4 linked regions of the Caenorhabditis elegans genome follow. Changing the gene in region 1 together with any one later gene gives a genetic interaction. Each region holds a gene or a part of one and is shown on either strand. Other genes may lie near its edges. The genes, in order: sma-6, cdc-25.1, efn-4 and pha-4.

The links.
Region 2: changes in sma-6 (region 1) and cdc-25.1 together harm fitness more than expected from each alone (negative genetic interaction), as found in Caenorhabditis elegans (one large-scale study listed by BioGRID).
Region 3: changes in sma-6 (region 1) and efn-4 together harm fitness more than expected from each alone (negative genetic interaction), as found in Caenorhabditis elegans (one large-scale study listed by BioGRID).
Region 4: changes in sma-6 (region 1) and pha-4 together harm fitness more than expected from each alone (negative genetic interaction), as found in Caenorhabditis elegans (one large-scale study listed by BioGRID).

Annotation. Positions count from the first base shown.
Region 1 is NC_003280.10:6,322,685-6,327,872, forward strand, and holds sma-6 (Serine/threonine-protein kinase receptor sma-6), read left to right. Parts: upstream 1-1,799; 5' UTR 1,800-1,804; coding exon 1,805-1,944; intron 1,945-1,991; coding exon 1,992-2,142; intron 2,143-2,360; coding exon 2,361-2,450; intron 2,451-2,495; coding exon 2,496-2,607; intron 2,608-2,651; coding exon 2,652-2,807; intron 2,808-2,849; coding exon 2,850-2,943; intron 2,944-3,032; coding exon 3,033-3,113; intron 3,114-3,158; coding exon 3,159-3,295; intron 3,296-3,342; coding exon 3,343-3,646; intron 3,647-3,722; coding exon 3,723-3,894; intron 3,895-3,937; coding exon 3,938-4,336; intron 4,337-4,381; coding exon 4,382-4,456; 3' UTR 4,457-4,671; downstream 4,672-5,188. Other genes in the region: C32D5.4 (uncharacterized protein), read right to left, coding at 1-395.
Region 2 is NC_003279.8:6,468,884-6,473,533, reverse strand, and holds cdc-25.1 (M-phase inducer phosphatase cdc-25.1), read left to right. Parts: upstream 1-1,611; 5' UTR 1,612-1,631; coding exon 1,632-1,770; intron 1,771-1,818; coding exon 1,819-1,981; intron 1,982-2,024; coding exon 2,025-2,529; intron 2,530-2,579; coding exon 2,580-2,881; intron 2,882-2,927; coding exon 2,928-3,240; intron 3,241-3,282; coding exon 3,283-3,420; intron 3,421-3,467; coding exon 3,468-3,722; 3' UTR 3,723-4,148; downstream 4,149-4,650. Other genes in the region: uad-2 (Chromo domain-containing protein), read right to left, coding at 257-313; K06A5.2 (DUF389 domain membrane protein), read right to left, coding at 4,178-4,497, 4,540-4,650.
Region 3 is NC_003282.8:557,432-562,278, forward strand, and holds the start of efn-4 (Ephrin-4), read left to right. Parts: upstream 1-1,802; 5' UTR 1,803-1,806; coding exon 1,807-1,904; intron 1,905-3,356; exon of another isoform or gene 3,357-3,494; intron 3,495-4,095; exon of another isoform or gene 4,096-4,217; intron 4,218-4,847. UniProt on the Caenorhabditis elegans protein: Regulates the formation or stabilization of cell-cell contacts at several stages of epithelial morphogenesis. In early embryonic development, involved in ventral closure of the epidermis.
Region 4 is NC_003283.11:20,751,118-20,759,092, forward strand, and holds the start of pha-4 (Defective pharyngeal development protein 4), read left to right. Parts: upstream 1-1,934; coding exon 1,935-1,976; intron 1,977-4,223; coding exon 4,224-4,463; intron 4,464-5,411; exon of another isoform or gene 5,412-5,620; intron 5,621-5,792; coding exon 5,793-5,858; intron 5,859-5,916; coding exon 5,917-6,043; intron 6,044-6,306; coding exon 6,307-6,727; intron 6,728-7,039; coding exon 7,040-7,466; intron 7,467-7,526; coding exon 7,527-7,690; intron 7,691-7,975.

The sequences.
Region 1 (5,188 bases):
GTGGACATGTGCGTCAAGAGACGTTTCATTTCATTCGGATTTTCTCGCATTTCGGCTTCTTCCGGCGGTGTAGTCATCACTTCGAAATCGTCTTCTTTGCATTTTAACATACTGCGTACGATGTTAATTTTTGATGAAAACGAAATAATCAAAAACTGATTTATTTTTTTCCAATCGTCAATATTTTTTCGTTTTGAAGTTCTTAGTTGGAATGTCACGGAATGAAATAGTGTGGCAGTAAAAATAATATTAGTTTCAAAACAATTCCCTTGCGTATTATTTATTGTCAGGAAAAAATATACATCATGAATCTTTTCCCATTCTTGTTGCCTTGGAGATTTCATTATTTTGTCGTCTTTTTTGGACTTCAATTTTATATTCTTGTTCCAGTACATTACATGTTTATATTCATAATGTGAGAACTTTTAAGCTTCATTGTGTTAAGCTGTAGTTTCAGAACTTTTTATACTTTCGCTTTTTGAAGCTTTCGGCAACCTTTGCCGGGACTGAACTTTCCAAAAACTCATAGAATCCTATAAAGTGTTTTTTTATTCTAAAACACTGGCACTGGTAATTAACTTAAGTATTCAAAACATTAGTTTCATTTTTTCTAAAATTTCTAGAAGCCCAGTATTGTGAATAAACTAAAGTGCCCTCAAAACGTATCATACTATTACAAAATTGATATTTCCGATAAGTGCTCAGAACTCTTTAAAAAATAATATTTGTCGAGTCCCCAGTAAACTATTAATATTTTATAAGTTGGGAACAACAAAGAAGGAAATGTAGAATCAGATTTTCATTGTCAAATAAATATCATTTTTGAATGACCAAAACTCAAAGCTTGTTTCAGATTTTTCAATATTTTCAGTTTTGGCAAATTTCCAAATTTTTAAATACTTCGGAATTCTTGCAAATTTTTGAGCTCTTCTTTGATCAAAAGTAGGATTATTGGTCGACTTTCAAAATTATGATAGGCGAAGCAATATTGTAACTTGTTATTTTGTTACTTTCCCTATTATGATTATTTTCCCCTGTGTTTGCCAAATTTTCCAAAAAAGTAAATTTTTAAGAAATTTCAAACGGTAAACCCCTACAACATTTGAATACAAAAAAATAAAACTCGTAGATTTTTTTTTGCCGACTTCTAGTTCTTCACTAATTTGTGACTATACATAAAAAATTTCAGTTTTTTTTGGTGTTACTATGGTATTGGGACATTTTTGCACTATAAGCATGGTTTCATGATATTTTCTTACTGACGATTTTAATTGTAGTACTATAAAAATTTGTCGTGCCCTTCCGAATCTTGTATTCATCCGGTGCCCAAAAATCGCTAAACTTCAAACGATAGAAACAATGAATAGATATTGAAAAAAAGAAACACCTGGTGCAACCCTCTTTTACATAAATCTAATCCATCTATTTTTCTCAGAAAAATGGCGCCACGCCATTTAATGACCCCGTCATTTTATGGGGTGGCGCGACAGAAAGGCGCCGCACTTCTACCTATTCTCCGGTCATACATATATCCATTTTGGCGCAACTTTTCCGTTCAGATCATTAGTATCATTAGGCGGACAAGTTGTCAAAAAGAACATTAAGTGAATGATGAGATAGTTAAGAGAGATAGTGTACTGATAGAAGAGGCCGTAGATTGAAATATTGTACGAAACGGAGAGGAAACTCGGCAAACAGTCTTTTCATCTCTACCTCTGTCTTTACTCGTTCTATTTTCATGTTTTTCGCAACTGACTTCATTAACAATATATTTTAATCAATTTATTTGCAAATTTCAGATTTAATGAACATCACCTTTATATTTATTCTCATTTTCGGATTTTTCAATACTCAAAAATGCTCAAAAGACTATGATCACTTTGACGATGAAGACTTAGCGTTGAGCATTCCAAAAAATGCAATAGGAGTTCCAAAGGAGTTCAGGTACATGAGTTTTTATATTTTATCAAAAATTCAGTTTTTCTTATCAGGCAACAAGTTTTAAAAGAGATGAAGCTTCGGAACAGACCCAATGATATTTTGAAAAATCGATGTTATTGCAATTATGATCAGTCGATATGTGGAAATAATATGACATGTGTGAAACAAGATGGAGCTGCTTGTTATCATGCCGTTGAAGAGGTAAAATTAACTTGTAGCTCTTGAAAGTTTCCGTTTTATTTTTTGGAATATTTTTACACCATGGAGGTTAGCAACATATGATCTAGGCGTTACCAGTTTTTTAATGAATGGATTTTTCTCATTTCTTGAAACTGACAAATTATAATAATTTTTTTTTTTTGAAAAATCGATGTTATTGCAATTATGATTATTTTCAAAATTATAAAAATAAATTTTAGGTTTATAACAAAGCTGAAAAACGAATGGAAACTCTTCATAAATGGGGATGTGCAACACTGGAAAGAGGAAGTGGAGCTTCACATTTGACGGTGTTTCATCGAGTTTTTTGAAATATTTCACCAGGTGTTTTTCAGTGTAATTCTTGGAGAGCAGCTCACCATTCTCCTAAAAGTATTGGTTGTTGCTATGAAGGTAACTATTGCAATAAGAATTTGATTCCGCCGGCATATGTTCATCATCACAAGGGTGAGTTTTTTTTTAATTTAAATTTTTTAACAGGGACTATTCAGAGAAAGCACTTCAAGAGAAAACTGACAATCCAGAAGACTATGATTCTCCACTGGAAAACATGACACGTGGAGGAAAAATGTTCATAATGGTATTTGCAACAGTCATGTCGGTTTTTGCAGTCATTGGATGTATTTATTTATGTATTACAAGAGCAGGTGAGACAGTTTTTAAATTACTAAATTGATATTTTGTTTCAGAAGAAAAATCTAAAGCCAGAGCCAGAGCCAAGACGGTGTCTCTGAAAACAGAATCAACATACATGGAGAGCAAATCAATGCTCGAAGACTCAGGGTTCGTTTTTATTTCCTAGAGTATTTGCGATATAGAGATATCATACCCATTATTTTGAAAGTGATGTTTTTAACAAATACAATTTTCAGAAGTGGTTCTGGGCAGGCTGCGTTGATCCAAAGGACAGTGAGACAAGATTTAACAATTATTAAAACAATTGGACAGGGAAGGTAAAATTAATTCTTATTTTAATCTTTGTTGCCTATATTTTTTAGATATGGAGAAGTTCGCAAAGCTCTGTATCGTGGAAGTTACGTGGCTGTAAAAACATTCTACACAACTGATGAAGATTCATGGAAAAATGAAAGAGATGTATATCAAACTAACATGATCAATCATGAAAATATCCTTCGTAAGCTATTTCAGTAAAATTACTTTGAATTTCAAGAATTGTTTCAGAATTCGTGGCGGCTGATATTTGGAGTGAGGAAGATTCAATGACAAAGATGCTTCTTATCACTGATTATCATGAACTGGGATCTTTATCAGATTATCTTTGCCGTGAAGAAACATTGACAACAGATGAAGCTCTTCGACTTATTCACAGTTGTATATGTGGTATTGAACATCTACATGCAGCTGTACACGGAACTGGAAGCTTTAGAAAACCTGAAATTGCACATCGAGATATTAAATCAAAGAATATTATAGTCAAACGACCAAATGTGTGTTGTATCGCTGATTTGGGTTTGGCACTACGATAGTGAGTTATTTCAAATGATGCATCTGAAAACCAAAGATTTAGTTGTTCTGAAATTTAGAAAGAATAATGTTTTCAGTCAAAACGACAAAATTCTCCCTGAAAAATTCAATGTTCAAGTTGGAACAAAACGATATATGGCTCCAGAACTGATATCAAACAAGTTGAATCCAAAAGATTTTTCTCAGTTCAAGATGGCAGATATCTACTCAATGGCACTTGTTATGTGGGAAGTTGCAATCAGGGTTGAGGTATGATTATTCAATGAGTTTAAAATAAAGGCCATGATTGTAGGTAAACACCTGTGAGGAAGTGTTAACTGTCGATGAGACCTCTCCTGATCACAGTGCATCAAGTGGTATCGGAGAGTCAGTTAGTTCATCTGGTAATATATCGAGAATGCATCTACAAAAAACAAATGTAGAAGGACATTCTACATCTCTGAAAGCAAAACAACATGTCCCACCATTCGATGGAATCGTGCACAATGATCCCAATTTTGACGAGATGAACGATGTAATTTGTGTACGTCGAATACGTCCACCACCGGATCTTGCCTGGAAAAACGTCCCAGCACTTAATGAATTGAGCAAGTTGATGGAAGACAGTTGGCATTCAATTCCACACTTCCGACATTCTGCTCTTAAATTGAAAAAAGAAATGGCTGAGTTGATCAAAAACCCCGACAGACAGGTAATTCAACACGTTAAGGAGCTATATCTAACTCTATGTTTTCAGAATCAATCGCAGCGTAAAGTTGAATTCCAACAGCAAGACAGTGGCCTTGTTGAGTCAGCCACCAATCAATCTTAACCCACTTTCTGATCTTACTTTCGTTGTACCAAAATTTTTGGCTTCTTTAAAATCAATTTTACTTTTTCAGTTTTGTTCATATTTCCACAACGGTCAAAATTTAAAGCGATCTCTCTAATAATTTCCCATCAATTTTTTAATTGTGCAACTCTTATGAACTTGTTCTCATCTCGATTTACTGCAATTTTTGTGAATAAACATTGTTCCAGACCTGTACGTTCGTGTTGTAATTATGCGACATTATTGTCCATCATTGCCTAATATTTCCTTGATAGATTGCCGATAAGACAAATTCTTAACTTGCGCTCCCTGTGGCAGAAGACGGAGCAAACAAAATTATCAGCTCAACCATGTTTAAATGTACGTTTATTATCTCTCTATCTGAATCTATCTGGATTGGTGTGCACTGCATTTGTGAGCAAATATAGGCATACTTGTACGTGGTTTGATAAGATAATACTGCACCGTTAGACAACTCTTTTGGGTGAAACAAAAGGGAGACAACTGCAAGTTGCATCAGTTGGAACAATGAAACATTAATTCGTTAAAACACAAAGCACATCTGATATCATTTTCACAATTTATTTCGTTTATCACATATTTTAGAAGATCATCCTTTTGTAAAGTTAAAAGTGGATTCATGATATTTTAATTTTGACAAATCTCGACTAGAAAATTTTTAAGGATATCAAATATTTCAAGAAATTTCTGCACTGCAAGTTACGGCAAAAT
Region 2 (4,650 bases), on another chromosome or scaffold:
TATCATGTTTGGGAAAGTTTAGGTTTTGTATTTCCGTAATCCATCATATTACATTGACCACTTTCACCGCTACTTACCGACTCAATACACAATTTTTCACTTGGAAATTGTTTTAGCATCTGCAAAAAATATTTATTTATTAGTTTTAATAAGAAAAACGGGAAAAAATGGTGCAAAACAAAAGAAAACACGCGGAAAACAAAGCAACATAAATGGCCGCTGAAATTTGTCGGGGACTCGACCATGGCCTAGAAACCTTTTTGCCTCGTCCCTCGTGAGGAAAAAGTTGCAGTGTCTCGCTGGAGCTTGGCATTCTGAAAAACCAAAACAATAGTGTTATGAAAGCTGTAATTCAAGAGTGGTTACACGTTCAAAAACTGACAATTTTCATGATTATCCAAGAACGCCAAAAGGTGGTTGTGGTCAGGATAACAGCTAACAAGAGCTGGTTTGAAGACATAATATAGAAATATGGAGCGGAAAAATAGAAAGAATGTTACAATCGTAAACGATGCATTTCAAGGCAATCATTGTGATAAATAGAAAAAGTGCTACGAGCAACAAGAAAGGAACGGTATAAAGAGAAAGGTATGAGTTCTCGTACAAACACAAACTGACAAAAAACTAAAACACTTAGGGTCTCGTATATTATGAGAAATTCTATTAGAATATGCATTTAAATTTATTAATTCAATTTAAAATAACAATCTGAAGGCTTCAACAAACCAAATTAAAGTTTTAAGGCTAAAATTATGAATAAATTAAAGGATGATTCATCATTTTGAATGAATTCAACTCAAAAAAAACATATGATTTACGACAAACAACACGCGGTACCGTTATATCGGAGTGTCATTGAAAACGCGAATTAAAATTGAAAAAAATTCAAACTTTGGAAACACTTTTACGCAAAAATACGGGGTGAGGCAAATACGCTTTATGGGAGGTTACTGTAGTTGGGCGGCTTTGGCCTAATTTCACTGACGGAAGCAGCTCTCCATTCTCCCAAAATTTACAATCAACAAATTTATTTCCATAATTTTTTATTGAAAATTTGATTGAATGTCAACTAAGTTCGTCTGTAAATGATTTCTAGACACATTGCCGTCCAGCATGTCTAAAAAGTGGCTTGTTCATGGGAGCTCTGAAATCTGATACCCGGAATGATGGGAAACTGAAAAAAAAATGGTATAACAGTGCAACAGAACATGATGAATACAGAAATTGGGTTTGCTGATTTCAAGATGATGATTGCGTTTTTTTTATGAGCAGTTTCTAAATACCAAAATAAAATTTCTTAATGAATAGATCAAACGAAAACTGGGCGCTAGAGCGCCAAAATTTCAAATCACAAATTATATCCTTCTTTTGATTAAATTTCAACTAAATAAGAATCTTTTGCCCAATTTTTTTCTAAATTTTCGAAGAGTCTAAATTCTTTTTCGATTAGGAAAAATTAAGCTCTTATTCATTCCTTTGTTGTCAATCACGGTCCTTTTTCCTCTTTTGTAACATAGGCTGCGTCTCTTCGTGTGGTCAATCTCTCTCCGCGTTTCTGGCCAAATAATTTTACTTCTAAATTCAAATGTTGGTATCTCCTATAATTTTTAGTTGAGGGCTGTGCATCTCTGATGGCTACCACCGGGGAAAAAGCAATATATGAGGATCAAAATAATGTAAATATCATCGAGAATGTGGTTGATGTGGCAAACGGTATCAACGAATCACCGAAAACCTTATTTGAAGAAGATGGCAGCTCCCGCGATTCTGGTTTGTCATGTAAATGGAAGGCTTAATTAATATTTGTTTCTTATTCAGGTGTCTCAATGACTAGCTGTAGCGACAAATCAGATGCATCACCCGAGGAAGATGTGGATTTTAGCAAACTGGAATCTGGTCGTGTAGCCCTCACAGACTGTTCCAATTTCGTTTCAATTTTACAACGAAACTCGTCTGTCAGCTCATCACGCAGCTCTTCTTTGTATATTCCCATCATGCGACTTCCAAAAAAAAACAATTTTCAGCTACAACTATGATACACCAACAGGGCGTAAGATGAAGACGGTGTTTGATTTGGATTCTCTCGATCACTCAGAATATGAGAAAAGAGTTATGAGCGAGAGACCAACGGATAATCATCGGAAAAGAACTTCCAGTTCAATGTCTCCCAGCGTCACGCTCCTGGATCGCAAGAGAAGCCGGAATTTGTCTCTTGTTGCTCCACAGAGTGACAAATCTTGTCGCTATAATGGTCTCAATAACCCGAGGGATGATCCATTCGGTGATGAAGACGATGAGGTCTTTGAGCAGAGCAACGTCAGAAACTCTCAAGTTCAGAATACATCAATTTTCGCTCAACCTGCCCCACGAACAGCAACTTCGTTATGGGATTTGGCACCGCCGATGTTTTTTGAACGAAAAACTTCCGATACGTCAGGCAACGGATCTTTCCAGGAGAGACCAAAACAAATTTTGCGTGCGATGAGCGTTGGTGAGATTGATTCTGAACTTCCTCCAACGTTAGAAGTGGTATACTTTTTCGATTATTTTTTGAAGTTATCCAGAAAATTACTTTTTAGAAGTACACTCTTCCCGGTGTTGATAATCCACAGAGAGAGTCACAAGCATTCCGGAGTATCTCACCTACTACTTTACTCTTGGAATTTCAACGTCTTGGAGATGATTTCGATAAGAAATACATTATAGTCGACTGTCGTTTTCCATTTGAGTACAAGGGTGGTCATGTGAAAGGAGCTATCAATTTGTTTCGTCATGACAAGATCAAGCCAATATTTTTCCCAGAAAACGGCGAAGCCAGTTCTTTTCAAAATCGTGTTCCGATCTTCTATTGCGAATACAGTCAGAAACGGGGGCCAACAATGTCGGTGGTATTTCTTTATTTATTTTATAAAATATCTGATTTTTAGGGCTCATGCTGTACGTTCTATTGACCGCGTGTTGAATGAACTTCGTTATCCACATGTCGAATATCCGGAAATGTATTTGTTGGACTATGGCTATAAATCGTTGTGGAGTACTGCTGAATGTCGTCAGATATGTGAGCCATGTTCTTACATTCCAATGACACACAGTTCATTTTCGATGGAATTTAAATCGGCTCGTCTCGAACGGCATCATTCAATGGCTTCGTTGAAACCTAATGGAGAAACCAGTCATCGCGAGGAAAAGAAGAAAAGATGTACTCGTAGTGTAATTCGAAGAAATAATTCTTCTTTGAACGTTAGTTTAAAATCGTCTTCAATTCAACTTTACTAATTTTAGATGTTATCAAGGTCGTCTAGTGCTTTAACCTCTACTGGAAGCAAGACAAGCAGCATGGAGAATATTCTTTATGGTTTGGATGATGAGAGACGACCCAAATGGGTTTCTGCGTTCGATATTCAAAGCACGGAATCGGAGGTAAATACTGTCATTAAAAATTTCAGTATAATTTTTTCATTTTGCAGAATGATTTAGATGCAGCTCTTATCTATCAGCGCAATATAAGTTCAAATGCTTCAAATGCGTCTTCCATAGTCAACCTAGCTGAAGAGCGCATTGTTCAACTTGGGCTCCAGGTGATCACACCGGATTTCCCAGATCGCCCGTCAGAATCATCGTCAACCACACCAGCAGGAGAACATCTCCCACTCGGGGAAGGGGGTCATCAGATTCCTTGTGGAATTCTTGACTTCTCATCGATTTCTGACGACGCCGAATAATAGCACCCTCTCTCCCATTACTTTTATTTATCATTCTGTTTAAACTTTGTTAATTTTCATCCCATCTTTTTCTTAACTTATTTTCCGTTTCTCGTTTCTTTTTCTATTTTGAGTCACACTTTGCAGGTCTCCGTTTCGACTGGTTCCTCTTCTACCAACCCATTCTTTTAAATCAGTCCCTTCTTGGTCTCTAAGCAATGTGGCTTCATTGCAATACGCTTCCAAGACTGAAGGGTTTTTTTTTTAACTCACGCCTTATGCCTAGGTCATCTATCTAATAGTTGTCAAACAAACTACTCAGTCACTGAGGATCTTTAACTCTCTAAATCACTTTCGCCATTCCCAACCACGCATTTACTGTACCATGACTTTCATTCTTTTGATCATTTTTATTTTCTTTCAAAATGAAGCCCCCTAGCACACTGTACATATTTATCAAATTTCATTCATTTTTCTTATGCGTTCACATTAATCTCAGCATTTCCTTCCAATCCAAATTGCTCTTCGGAAGCAGAGATTGGCACGTCATATGCTCCAAGAACACCGTAAACCAAGCACTTTGCAGAGATGGTGAGACCAACGAGAATGGCAGAATACAAGTTCACATTTGCACGGCTCTGATCACGACTAGCCAATTGAATGGGAATCAAAGCGGCAAGAGTGTAGAATCCAGTCAGTACAAAATAAACAGGTGTCAATGCTCCTTCAACAGCTCCAAGTGTGGAGTGAATCAGAATTGAGGTGGCCACAGTGGTTGAGAGTGAAGATGCCCGAGCTAAAATTACTTTTTTTGTATTTTCTAACGCAAGCAACTTACAAGTCGGGTTCATCACTGCAATAATGAACGAGGATGCAATAGTAGAAAGGGCAACGAATGGTTCAGCCGAAATCAAGACGTGTGACAATGCGGATCCAGTGAGAACTCCCT
Region 3 (4,847 bases), on another chromosome or scaffold:
AATTTGTGAAAATTCTAGACCATTATAGAAAATCAATTGAAATACAGAAAAAAAATTTTTGAAAATTTTTAGCAAATTCTGGAAAATTCTCCAAAATCCATGAAAATATGGTACTTGTGTATTATACCCCCGCCATTTTATAAATTAATTTTTTAACTTTTTAAATAAAAACGTGTGGAATTTTAGGCTTAAAATTAGGAAAACACTATTCCTAAAGTATAATACACAAGTACCGAAAATATCAATTCGTTTTAATCCTTGGAAAATTTTCTGAAATTCTAGGCAGTGCTCTAAAATTTTAGGAAGTTTTGAAACTTTGGGAAACTTGAAAATCCTAACAAATTATTCCAAAATTCCTGGAAATTCCAGAAATTTCTGGAAAATTTTTGGAAATTATAAAAATGTCTTAAAGTATTTTGAAAATCCTTCTGAAAAACATGAAAACCCTTGAAAATTCTAGTAAATGCTAAAAAAATATGCTCAAAAATTTTCAGAACTTTTCAAAAAGTTCTTGGAAGTTTTTGAAAGTTCTGGAAAATTCTTGAAAAATTCTTTCAATTTTTTTTAAACCTGTAAAAATTTCAGGTAATCCTATGAAATCATTGAAAATTCTCTAAAATTTTTAAAAATTCTCAGAAAATCTAGAACTTTCTAAAAAGTTTTTTGGAAGTTCTTGAACATTTTAATGCCCACCTTCCCGATGCCTGCGTGCCTGCCTACCTTGTACCTGCCTACCTACCTATGACCTATTTTCTACATTTTTAAAGATACAATTTTCAAGAAAATTTGTAATTTCCCACCTATTTTTTTTTGAAATTGGAAAATGAGAAATCCTTTTTCTTGTGAATAAATGAATATTGAATTTGATTTGAAAAATAAATTTCTAGTAAATTTGGCGCAAAATTTGAAATTTTAATTTTTACAGAATTACATTTATTGGCGCAAATTTTGTAAATTTCCAAAATTATATAGTTTTACCAAAATTTCAATTTTTCAAAAACTATTGCCATAAAAATTTTGCCGCAAAAAGCAGAATTTAAATTCTTCTTTATCAAAAAAAAAAACTAATTTTTAACGCAGAAGGGTTAGCTATTTTGATCCCACAAAGTACAAAAAAATGCCACAAAAATACTAGAACTTTCTGGAAAGATCTGGAAAAATTCGTTCAAAAATTTTTCTAAAATTCTCAGAAAATCTAGAACTTTTAAAAAAATTCTTGAAAATATCCAACTTTTTCCCTCCCCTTCCAACTTACCCTATTCCCCGTTTGATTAGCTCTCAACTCTTCTCACGACTTAATTGCTGCCATTTCATTTCTCAAAAAAAAAAAAAAAGTCATGCTCTTCTACTTCTACTGCTCGTCTTCATCCAGCTCATCCTCATTTTAATAGGCTCTTTTTCCGGAGGAGACGGTCCTGTTGGCTTCTCACTCACTTCTCATATTTCAATCCTCTACTTCTTCTTGCCTTTTCCCGCCCCGACGACACCCGTCCCAACAGATGCCCCCCCCCCCCCCGTCTTATTTCCCTGTAAGTCCCGCCTTCTCCGCCACCACCTTCATTTTCTCTGCGCGCTCTCCGGAGACGCGTGTCTCCTACTGCATAGTAGTGGTCAGTTCACCCCCTTTTCATCAAATGTGTGTGCACACAAACATTTAGACTTTAGACCTATTTTCATCTTACCTGTTCATTTTTGTGCCTTACTCAATTTTTCCGATGCTATCTTACTTTTCTTTTTAAAAATTTTTCACTTATTTTTTAGTTTGTTCCTACACCCAATTTTCTATATTTTTCAATTTTCAGCAATATGAAACAATTCTTCGAATTTTTAATAACAACATTTTTGCTACTCGGACTGGCCGCTGCAGACGAGCACATTGTCTACTGGAACTCTACAAATTCACTGTAAGTCTACATTTAATAGTACGATTCCCGCGCTCGCGGTAACCTATTATCTTATCAAGTTGAGCAAACAGTAATCAGGGGTGAAACGTTCGAAACTACTTATTGTTTGGTTCTCGCCGATAAGGCTCCGCAGATGCTCGAAAACTCCAGGGCTCTTCATCTTATAAATTGTAAATGTGACGGGAGGAGGGAGTCGTTATCTCGGATGCATTGTTTTGCCGCATACACCGGACCCCCACTAGAAATTCTTTAATGGAGAGAGGTGCTTGGTACACCTGCTTCTCAAATTCACCTTGTTTACCCATGTCCGTCTTTTAGAATTTGAAAGGAGCGAGGGTGATTTGAGATTTGAATTGATTTTAGACTTTAGCAGTTGAGCAATTTTTCTTAGCCGTTTTTTCGTTTTTACTCCATTAGGTATGCAAATCTCGCTTGTTTTAACTTTTTTCAAAAAAGTTTTAAATAGGAAAGTACGCGCTAAGTATTTTTCTACATTTTTGTAGTAGAAAATGTTTTGATAAATTTGAAACCAAGTGAGATTTACAACGTCAAAGTAAAGCCAAGGAGTCGGGCAGCGCTCCACTTTGACAGCTTATATCTCGGTTCTTTTTGATTTTATCAAAAAACGGTTAACTAAAAAAATATGCAAAAAATATTTTTCTACATTTTCATAGTAAAACACTTTTTGATAAAACAAAAGACAACTGAGATATACGTCTTCAATTTCGGAAAATAGTTTGAGGGTGTAAAGGAAATTACGTTACTTCCCTAAGACTTTAGAAGTAGTCGACCTCCCCGTACACCCGTCTTTCTTTTCAATACTTGCTGATCATTTTAACGGTATGCGAACCCGCGTGCTATTTGCATAACAATGCGCACTGTGGAGGTCGGTGTCACTTTTTTTTGTCAGGTGTCAACTCGAGAGTTAACTAGGTGTGTCGCCCAATTTTATGGAATAATGGAGTTTCCCAGAATATTGAGCGTTCAAGATTTTGCTAGATTAGCACACCATACTATGGTAATTATCGATGACATACTGAGATAAGTCACCTAGCCCCCGTACCGGATGTGTGTGTGTGTGTGTGTGTGTGTGTGTGCATGGTCAAGATTTACTTGGAGTAATATCAATATACTGCTCATACTTGAGCATTGTGTTTGCTCATTGGTTTTTTTTCGAGGGGCTTAAGATGGTGTGTACGTTATGCAACTCAGGTGTGGAAATACGAGAAGAGGGTCCTCTCTCTTTCTCTCTCAGGGTGGTCTATATGTGTATGTACTAGACATATTTGATGCGATTAAAAGTAGGTCTACGACGACGACGACGAAAATTGCTCCTCTACTCCTTGCTCTCTTCTCGGTTTCACTTTTTGAAGAGCATTCCCATTTCCGGCTTTCTGTTATTGGATGGGTGGTCCCAACGATGACATTTTTAGTAGGGTCAATGCACTTGACATCTTCTGTACGCCGTTTTCGATCTGACCTCCTGATTCAGAATTTATCGTTCGTCGTCTTCTGGGCCCAGGCGGCGTATGATTTACGGTCGCGCCGCTCCCCCGCCCTTATCCTTGTAATAATCTGCTGAGGTATAACCTTAGGTTGTGGTTTTTCGAAAATTTTCTGCGCGTGGTGCATATGTTCCATATCGGGTGTGTCTTATGATTACGTCATCACCAAAAGAGTTTTGTTTAGCAAGTCGGAAGTCTTGAAAGGGGGCTCCACGCAACACACTCATTACCGCACACAGTGGCTATTGATACTACTTTTTTGGCCAGGACATGCAAACGAGACAAAGACCACCTAAAACTCTTAGGTAAAAAACACCTGTTTCACCTACATTTTTGGAGGCTATCTTCCTGATCGGGACTTTTGACTTTGCCGACGATACACGCCGTCGTCGTCGTCGCACATCATTAAAAGATGGTAATAGCCGCGGCGGTTTGATGGGATCGCTTAGAAGGTGTGAGATGATCACAAACTTTCCCCCTAGAACACCTGTGATGGATTTGTTGAGATTTAAAAGATACTAGGGGGGGGGGGGGGTTCTCATACCTAAAGATTGTGTAGTAAATTTGCATATGAGTAGGAGTAGGATACTGAATGCAAATCTACATTCTTTTGTTATTGGGACTCTTGGAAGGACGCGAAAGTCTATGTGCGCGCGCGCAAGGATGACGGTCCACCAAGATTTACAGGCACCCCGGTGCACACTTCTTTTGAAAGGTGCCGCCGGCCAATAGATTTGTCTCCCCTCCGTTACAATAATAATAATAATAAAGACCGAGGGCCTTCCTGATGAAGATGATTATATCGTTCTTCATGGGTTAATCTGAAAATTAGAAGAGTCCCCCACCATGACCCATCTGTGCAGGTTTTTTTACGCAATCGGTGCTTTCAATGACCGCATGCAAATTAGTAATTAGTACTTGATATACCCCATTTTAATGAAGTATGACAGGGGGAGAAAGAACAGCCAATTAAACTGATATTCATCTGGTCTGAAGGTTCAAAAGCAGAGTCTCTAAATTGAATTGAATTGACAGCAGAAGCCTGTTGACTGTTGACACCAACTGGCTGGCATATGTTTTTTTTTGCCTCATTCTCTCCCTCAATGTCCCATCTTCCATATTCAACACGATGTCCAATATCCGCGAAAGCACACACACACACAAACATATCCGTCGTTTGAATGAGCAATCACGTACATTTTGTACGTTTCAATTTATCTAAAACGCAGAGGAGCTCAAGGAGCTCAGGGCTAAAGGCTCAGGGCTCAGGGCTGCTCCACGCATTACTAAATCAAAAAGAAAAGGGGGCAAGTGTTATATCCAATGCAAATTACTTCTTGACTTTAACTTGTGTGTTGCAAGACTTGTACCTTTCAAGTTGTCATGGGAATGAATATGTGGACTAATGAAGCTGCTTTTGATACGGGACTAGATAATC
Region 4 (7,975 bases), on another chromosome or scaffold:
ACAAATAATGATTGGATGTAAAGATTTCCAAAAACTTTATTAATGCATTTATATAAAAGTTATAGTCATTTCTTATCAGAAAAACTATACCATGGCCCTTGATAAGAAAGATTAGATTTTTAGCCCGCCAATAGGACTATCATAACTGCGTTCATGTTGTTCACATGCATTATATCTGTAAATCGCACATGGGTGCGACTACTTAACCGGACAATAGGTCTCTATAGGTCTCTGAAAGTGAATACAGAGGTGCTGAGAATAAGATCATACAGCTGGCTGTATTAATATCTGGGAAAATCATAATTTTTTGGATTTTTAAATCAAAAAAAAAAAAGATTGGTAATCCCTATTCCCCTTAACAAAGAAACGATAGCAAAGGCCTAAAGAATAGTGTTACAAAAGATTCTACCGACGATGAGCTATGCGGAAAGCGGAACCATTAAACTTTTGTCAAAAGGTGATAATGGACCATCTAACTTATTGGTCACTTTCCTGTCTTTGTAACTATTATGTTGATAACCCTCATTATCAGTGCCCTTGATGGACGGAGCAACGAGAGGGCAATGCTGTGAACGTCTCTTTTGATACAGTAACTATCCATTGGGAGATTAGTCATTCCTGAACCTAATACTAGTTTCGGATGCTTGGGTGTGGTATGCAATGAAAAATCAATGAGACGGAACTTGAACTCTGTTTTTTGTGAATCGTTGAAATGATTCACCTGTTCCAAGTTATTTTTGGGAGTATTAGCGTCTCATTGATTTAACTTTCTTATTGCTTTTTTTTGATTTACAGTAATTATTATACCAGTATTGAACACTTTAATAGTCTCGCACAGACTTGTTACCAGATGTACCGTATCTATTAATTAAAAAAAATAAATCGGAACGATTTGAAATTTTGAAAATTGTGAAAATTTTAATTTTCGTGCCTAAAACAGCATCAAGCAAATTTTTTGTCAAAGCTTGATTCTTTTTCTCAAGGTTTTCAAAAATTCAAAAGTTAGTACTGTGCCTTCAATAAAACTTGTAGTCTCTTAGTCTTACACACCAACGGACCAATGGACATTGTATGAATGACTGAAACAAAAAATATATTATACTTTTTTGTGATATCTTTTTAAATTGCCCTTTGTTAATACTACCTAATTCTTAACTGCTATTAACTGCTACACAACTAGCCTTATCTTGCTCCCATAACGTATCTAAATGTCGCGCGCGCGGCGTCCGTCCTCTTATGTATCTGTACCAGTCACAAAATTGTGTTGATGAAAAAGGCAAGAAGAAGAAGAATGGCAGTTGAGGGTGAGAAATTTATTTTTCCTATTGTCGTGGGGGAGATTGGACGGTTTCATTTTTTCAAATGAGATATTAAAACATGATTAGGAAGAGTTGAGATTAGCTGATTGTGAGCTTAATGATAGTTTTTGGAGTTCAATGTTAAACTTTCCATTTCTACACCACTATACGATTCTGGGTCACTAAACACCCTTGCTCAGACGGCTTTTCAAAGAAACACCATCTCCCCTCTCCACCACCCTACGCCTGTACAAAATGACTCAAAAGGGCACCGCGCCCGCTCTCGGTCTCCGATCACTCAGTCTCTCTCTCTCCCTCCACAACCCAAAAAGGAGGCTTGCAGAAGTAGAGAAGCAGAGAGTGACGATCGCTGTCTCCAGGTGTCCGTGTCAAACTCTCTTATCAATCAGTGCTCTTTTTCTCTCGTGTTACTGCGTCTCTATGTCCATTCCCTTCTACTCATTCCCATACAGCCCCCTTCTACACCACCATCATCACCATCACACTGTCACAGTGTTGATAACGAAGAGTCGTATCAAGAGACCTAACAAAATCACCCAACCCCAGCCAATATTACCTTATACACCCTATCTGTCCACTGCGTATTTTTTGAAGGACTATCTAATTTGAGATACAATGACATCGCCATCCAGTGATGAGGACATTATTGATATAAGGGTAAGGCACCAGTTATTTTCTGCTTCATGCATCGTTTTTTTTTAAAATTGTTCGGGGCCTCTGAAAACGTTTTTGTTAGCTCCCGGCTGTATGCTCACTTTTTTCGAAATTAAAAACTTACAACCATCTTTGCCACACATGTTTAATCTATTTCTGCAGCTACCTTTCTATTTCTCTTCTGAAACAATCTGAAAATGAGCACCTTCTGTGTATAATAGCACATAAGTGCTCATTAACAGGGGATACTCGATGTCAATATGACCCGGCCAGGATGCTAGGTTGCCACCTATTATTGCTCCATTGGTATTCTGGGAAGATGCACATTTTGAGAATATCATGAACATCTGTGATTTGTCAGAAATAGTTTAGGTTATTGTTCAGCTTACCATATTTTCTTCAAACATCACTACAAACTTTTTTAATGACATTAAATACATTTTTTCTAAGTTCAATAGCTTTTTTGGAATTTGAATGTTAGTCATGAACTCTTAAAATATGCAAGGCTCAAAAAGTGAAATTGTTAAAACTTTCTTTTAAGATTTTTTTATCGATTCTCTTTTCGGAGAGATACAATGAAAATTTGATTCTCACGGTCCACGCACAAAGTTTTTTCTTCGTTTTGCTAGAAAAAATTTCTATGGAACAATTTGAACATGTTTTGAAACACTGTGGAAAATTAAAAGTTTTCATATTTCGATAATAAGAGCTCCCGAAAAAAATGCTCCAAAAACAAAACTCGGGCCATCCAAATATTTTTTGTTTCGATGGATGAAATGCGATATTCACCGAAGGGGCACCACCACCAGTGGCTCCGAAAGCTTCCACCCAAAAATGGGAGCCTCCTAGACGTATATTTTGTGCTCTTTTCTACTCTCTCGCTCCTCCTTCCCATGCAAATATTTGACAATTTCGCAGTGTGTATGTGATATCAGTTTTTGTTTGCCAATTGTTGTTTCTTTTATTTGCCATGTTCGTTTCACACGGTTTCAGTGATAAATATGTGATAAGCTTCAAGACGAACCTAATTTTTTTAGAACAAAATATGACGAAATGGGGTTCAAAAGTTTGGATTTACCATGGAAAATGTTTTTCTCACTTTACAATTACTATTCTTATAGACATGAATTTTCTTTTTCCTAAAAACGTCCCACACTTTTTGATTCTAATATACCTACACCTATTTTGAAATAATGAAATCATATCGAGTGAGTATTGATAAGAAACCTCTTCTTCCGCCTACACTGCTTTCTACTCTATTTTACGATTATTGATTATTTTGGAGAAGTGTATAAGATAATGAGTCAGCGCAGTTAATGCTCAATAATAACAGGTGCTAAAAAATAGGCGGCAGATGGATGATAGTCGTCTCAAGTTTTTTTACGATTTTGAATCACAGCTGGAAAAAACGACTGTTAGGGCGAACATCTGGACCCAGAAATATTCATTCAAAATTTGCTTGAAAGAACCATTCAAAATCGGACTAAAAACGGCGGCAATAGTAAAAGGAAATAGTTTTTAAAAAAAGGCGAATCGGCAAACTGCCGGTGCCGGATATCAGATTTGCCGGAAATGTTTAGAGGGATTTTTTCGTAAGACCGAAACACTTTGCCGGAAATTTTCAATTCCGGCAATTTGCCGATTTGCCGGAAAAATTGTTTGCCGCCCACCCCTGATTGATACCACGCCTCTTTTCAATCAATAATAAAAGTTTTAATAAAAATGTGAGAGGACCCATAGCGGTATTGATAAGGTGGTCTAAGAAAAGAAAAAAAATTAAGATTTCTCTTGTAGATTTTGTTGAAACATTCACATGTTTTTAAAAAAATAGCGATAGTTTTTTTTTTCAACTTCGCCGCCACGTAGTAAAACCCTCGCATCCCGAACCTATTTCCAACCCACTCTCATTTCGTCATCGTTCTTCAGCTCTTGAAATTGCCGTTTGTATCATTTGGTGCTATATATTGCATTTTTAAGAGATTTCCTTGCCGCTTTTCCTCTCATCAACCCTTAAGCTTTCGCCGAAATTGCCCCCGGACATATTTTCAATTTCTTCACATCTGAATCCTCCTCCCTCCTCTATCCCACTTGTATGTAATTCTATACCACACCACCTCATTCTTAGTATCCTAGTACGTGCTAGGCTAGGACACAAAATTGGGTCAAGTGGAAAAGAGATATTTTGGAAAATTCAATGAAAAATTTGAGAACTTTTTAACAATGAAAAAAATTAAACTATTTTGTTTGAAGGTCATCAAAGAGGAGCCAGAGTCGGAACCTGACTCTGAAGCCGAGCCAGCCACAACCACGAATTCAACGGATTCAGAAGATTCTGTGGAACAGGAAAATAAAAAGTTATTGGAAACCGAGAAGAATCGAAAACGCGAGCAGAAACATAAAATGTTGCCAAATGGAACCACTTCTGGGACCTCCGACACGGGAAATCAGGTGCCTGCCACGTCGTCGGCTGCTTCAAGTGTAGACTATACGGTAGGTATGGTGCGGCAAATTTGGTAGGGTGTCAAAAATAAAGTAATAATAATAATCGTCATTTTTAACCCAAGCTTATCAGAATAAAAAACCATATGGCTAGTTGTATAACCGTCTGGCGTATCTTTTTGATGATTAATTTTTTGAGTAGGTAAATGCACTGTGAGTCATTTAGTTTTTTTATTCTTCTGTTTAACTTGTTAGTTTCTGCAATAAGTTTTAAAATTTCAATTCGTTAATCAATTTTTTAAATCGAAAATATTTCTTTGAAATTCAATCCCAGATTCTGAGTATATCACCAAAATTTAGAATTGCGAAATATTTTGAGGTCCAATACGGCTCAACATTAAAATCAACCAAAAATTAAAGAGTGATAACCAAATAGGGATTATGTTCAAGACGCTGTGACACCAAGAAGTTGGCAAAAAAAATTTGATTTTAGCTGAAAATGGGCAAATTTTTTCTAGAACTTTGAACCGCCATAGCTTTTTTTTGAGAAATTTTTAAAACGTCTCATTATGAAATTCGGTAGTTTTGCGTCATTTTGGGTTAAAAAAGCAAAGTCTCAGATTTCGGTACTCCTCATTTAATAAAAATTCGATTTAAAATTGTAGCAGTTAGTTTTTTTTTTGTAAAATTTTTTAGAAAAGTAGCTAAAAAGTAGCAAAGTGATGGTGTCCAGAAGAAAATAGAAATTGTGAGGTCCTCCTACCAAAAGAAGAAGGGGCTGGGCGTCGTGTTGCCCAAGAAGCCAAATATTTATTCAATTTCTATTTATTTATCCGACGACGACGAGGAACCCCCCCCCCCCCCCCCCCCCCCCCCCCCACCGTCCACAAACACACACACAACCAAAATTAGAATTCTTAAAAAAGCACCACGTGGAGATTACAATTAGTGAAACACCTATACTATTTTCAGCCATGAGTCAGTTGAAATCTAAAACAAGGTAAAAATCCGAAATGGGCGGAGTCCGCGACGGGGTTACTGTGGCTAAGCGATAGGCGGTGCGCACGCGCATAGGAGGGCAAGGTAGGCGGAGTCCCGCTGCTCTAGTGCCTAGCCTCTCCTTCACCTCTCTTCTTCAGTACGGGGCGTTCTACTTACCTTTGAGCATCATCTTTTTAAGGAATTTCCAAGGCTCAGGTTCAGAGGTCAAACGGGACTTATTTGTTCATTTCCATGTCTAGCTCCACGTGTGGGGCTTCCGAATTTTCTAAATATTTGTTATTTGTTATAAACACACACACACACACACATTTTGTATTTATCTTTAAATATTTACATAATCCCAGACCTCAAAGCAAACTTTCAATTTTTTTCTTGCAGGCCATGAACGCTCAGGACTATCTGCCGACGTATTCTAATACTACGTTAAACTACCAACCATATCAGGTAAAAAGTTTGACCCTGTTCTCACTAATAAGTCTAATAACATCCATTCTACTTTCAGTACCAGACTGCTGCCAATGGACTTCTGAACTACAACAACTACAGCCAGTATGCCACTGCTAATCAGCTCGGATCGAACTACATCAGCCCAGCCAATTTCATGCAAGGAGGAGGAATTTCACCTCTTGGTAAGTTTTAAAATATCCCTAATTGTCTAAATACTAACTCTCACATACATAAAAACAGTATAGCATATAATTATTTTTAATACGGTTAAGACAATGCATGAATTTATATCTATAGACAATCCTGATTAAATAAATTATTGTGAGATACTCTTCACTCTGAAAGCTCTAAATATTTCCCAAGCACAAAATGAGTATCCATTATTCATTCATACCTACCTTGAGTGGCGCTCTCTATACACAATTTGTAATTTGATCTCATTCAGGTTTTACCACTGGCACCACCGGAGCCACCACAGCGGCCGCTTCCGTGGCCACGTCGTCCGCCTCAGCGGTCATCGGAAGAAGCAATGGACGATCAAGCTCGACGGTTGCTGCATCGCCAGCCGATAGGTCTTATTCTGGTGTAAGCGGAGGGCAAGGCCAAGAACTCACGATTCAGGAATTTGAAACTGTCACGGAAAAGATCAGAAGACATGGAACTTATGGACAATCGAAACCTCCATACTCTTACATTAGCTTAATTACTATGGCAATTCAAAAGTCTAATTCTAGACAATTGACATTGTCTGAAATCTACAATTGGATCATGGATTTGTTCCCTTACTATCAGAACAATCAACAAAGATGGCAAAACTCAATTCGCCACTCCCTCTCCTTCAATGATTGCTTTGTAAAGGTTGCCAGGTAAGAGTCTTGAAAATTAAAGTTTTTTCTGGACACGTTTTGTCCCGATAAAAAACTTCTTATTGTTTTCCCACAAAAACCATCATTTCCTATTATAATCGGAACCTATATAGTTTATCTCAAGGACTACCTTTTCTGCAGCGCCACATTTATTATACCGTGCGCCCAAGGGACACCCATTGATGCGTGAAGCTGTTGAAATGAGAAATTACCGGAGAGAGTGAGGGTGCGCGTTAGTGAAAAGATTTGACAAAAAATCTATATGGATGTTTTCCGGAAACGATTTACAAAGACTAAGTTTATAATTTTCAGGTCCCCTGACAAGCCTGGAAAGGGATCCTTCTGGACTCTTCACGAGCACTGTGGGAATATGTTTGAGAATGGATGCTACCTCCGTAGGCAGAAGAGATTCAAGGTCAAGGAACGTGAGCCATCGAGAAAGAAGAGAAATGCCAACTCCCAACAATTGCATCAACAACAACACATTCCAAAAATGGAAATCAAAGAAGAGGATCCAACATCCATCACGACCACATCATCACTTGGTGCTTATTCTCTGATCCCTCAAATTTCTACAAAGAAGGAGATCAAGGAAGAGCTGAAAGCTGTGCAAGATGCAACTGCAGCTGCTGCCAATCTTGGCCTAATTGACCCATCGGGAACGCCGTCGGCTGTTAATCACAGTCAACCTACTTCAGTGATCTCAAGTGTTGGCACACTAGGAACCACGCAAGCACAGGTAAGATAAAATCTAGCCAGTGAATACAATATTTCAAGCTCCCATTTTGAATTTTTTCAGATGACACTCAATGGTCAATACGCGTCTCCTTACCTCTACAGTTCGGATTTTGCCACAATTCTCCCACAATCCCAGAATTTCCTGAACAACACACTCTACAACACAACGAGCAGTTATCCAGGAATTGACTACACCAACGGAGTATACCAGAATACTCTTTACAGGTATGTCTGATGGTATAACTAACGATGTTTTGTTGACCCCCTACTAATTTTTTTCGTTTGTTTTCCTTGTTTAAAACACATCATTTATTTTCTACGGTCTCATGATTATTTTGAATGTTTTAGAAGTTAACAATAAATTTCAATTTAGTAAAAATTGGAGTCTGGTTCTACTCGGTCATAATAGTAAGATTTAAAAAAGTACTAACGAATTTGATAGTATTGGTTTTTATTATCAAGGAAAGTATTTCAACTTAATCCCGGAATTCTGAATAAAATTTATGTCAT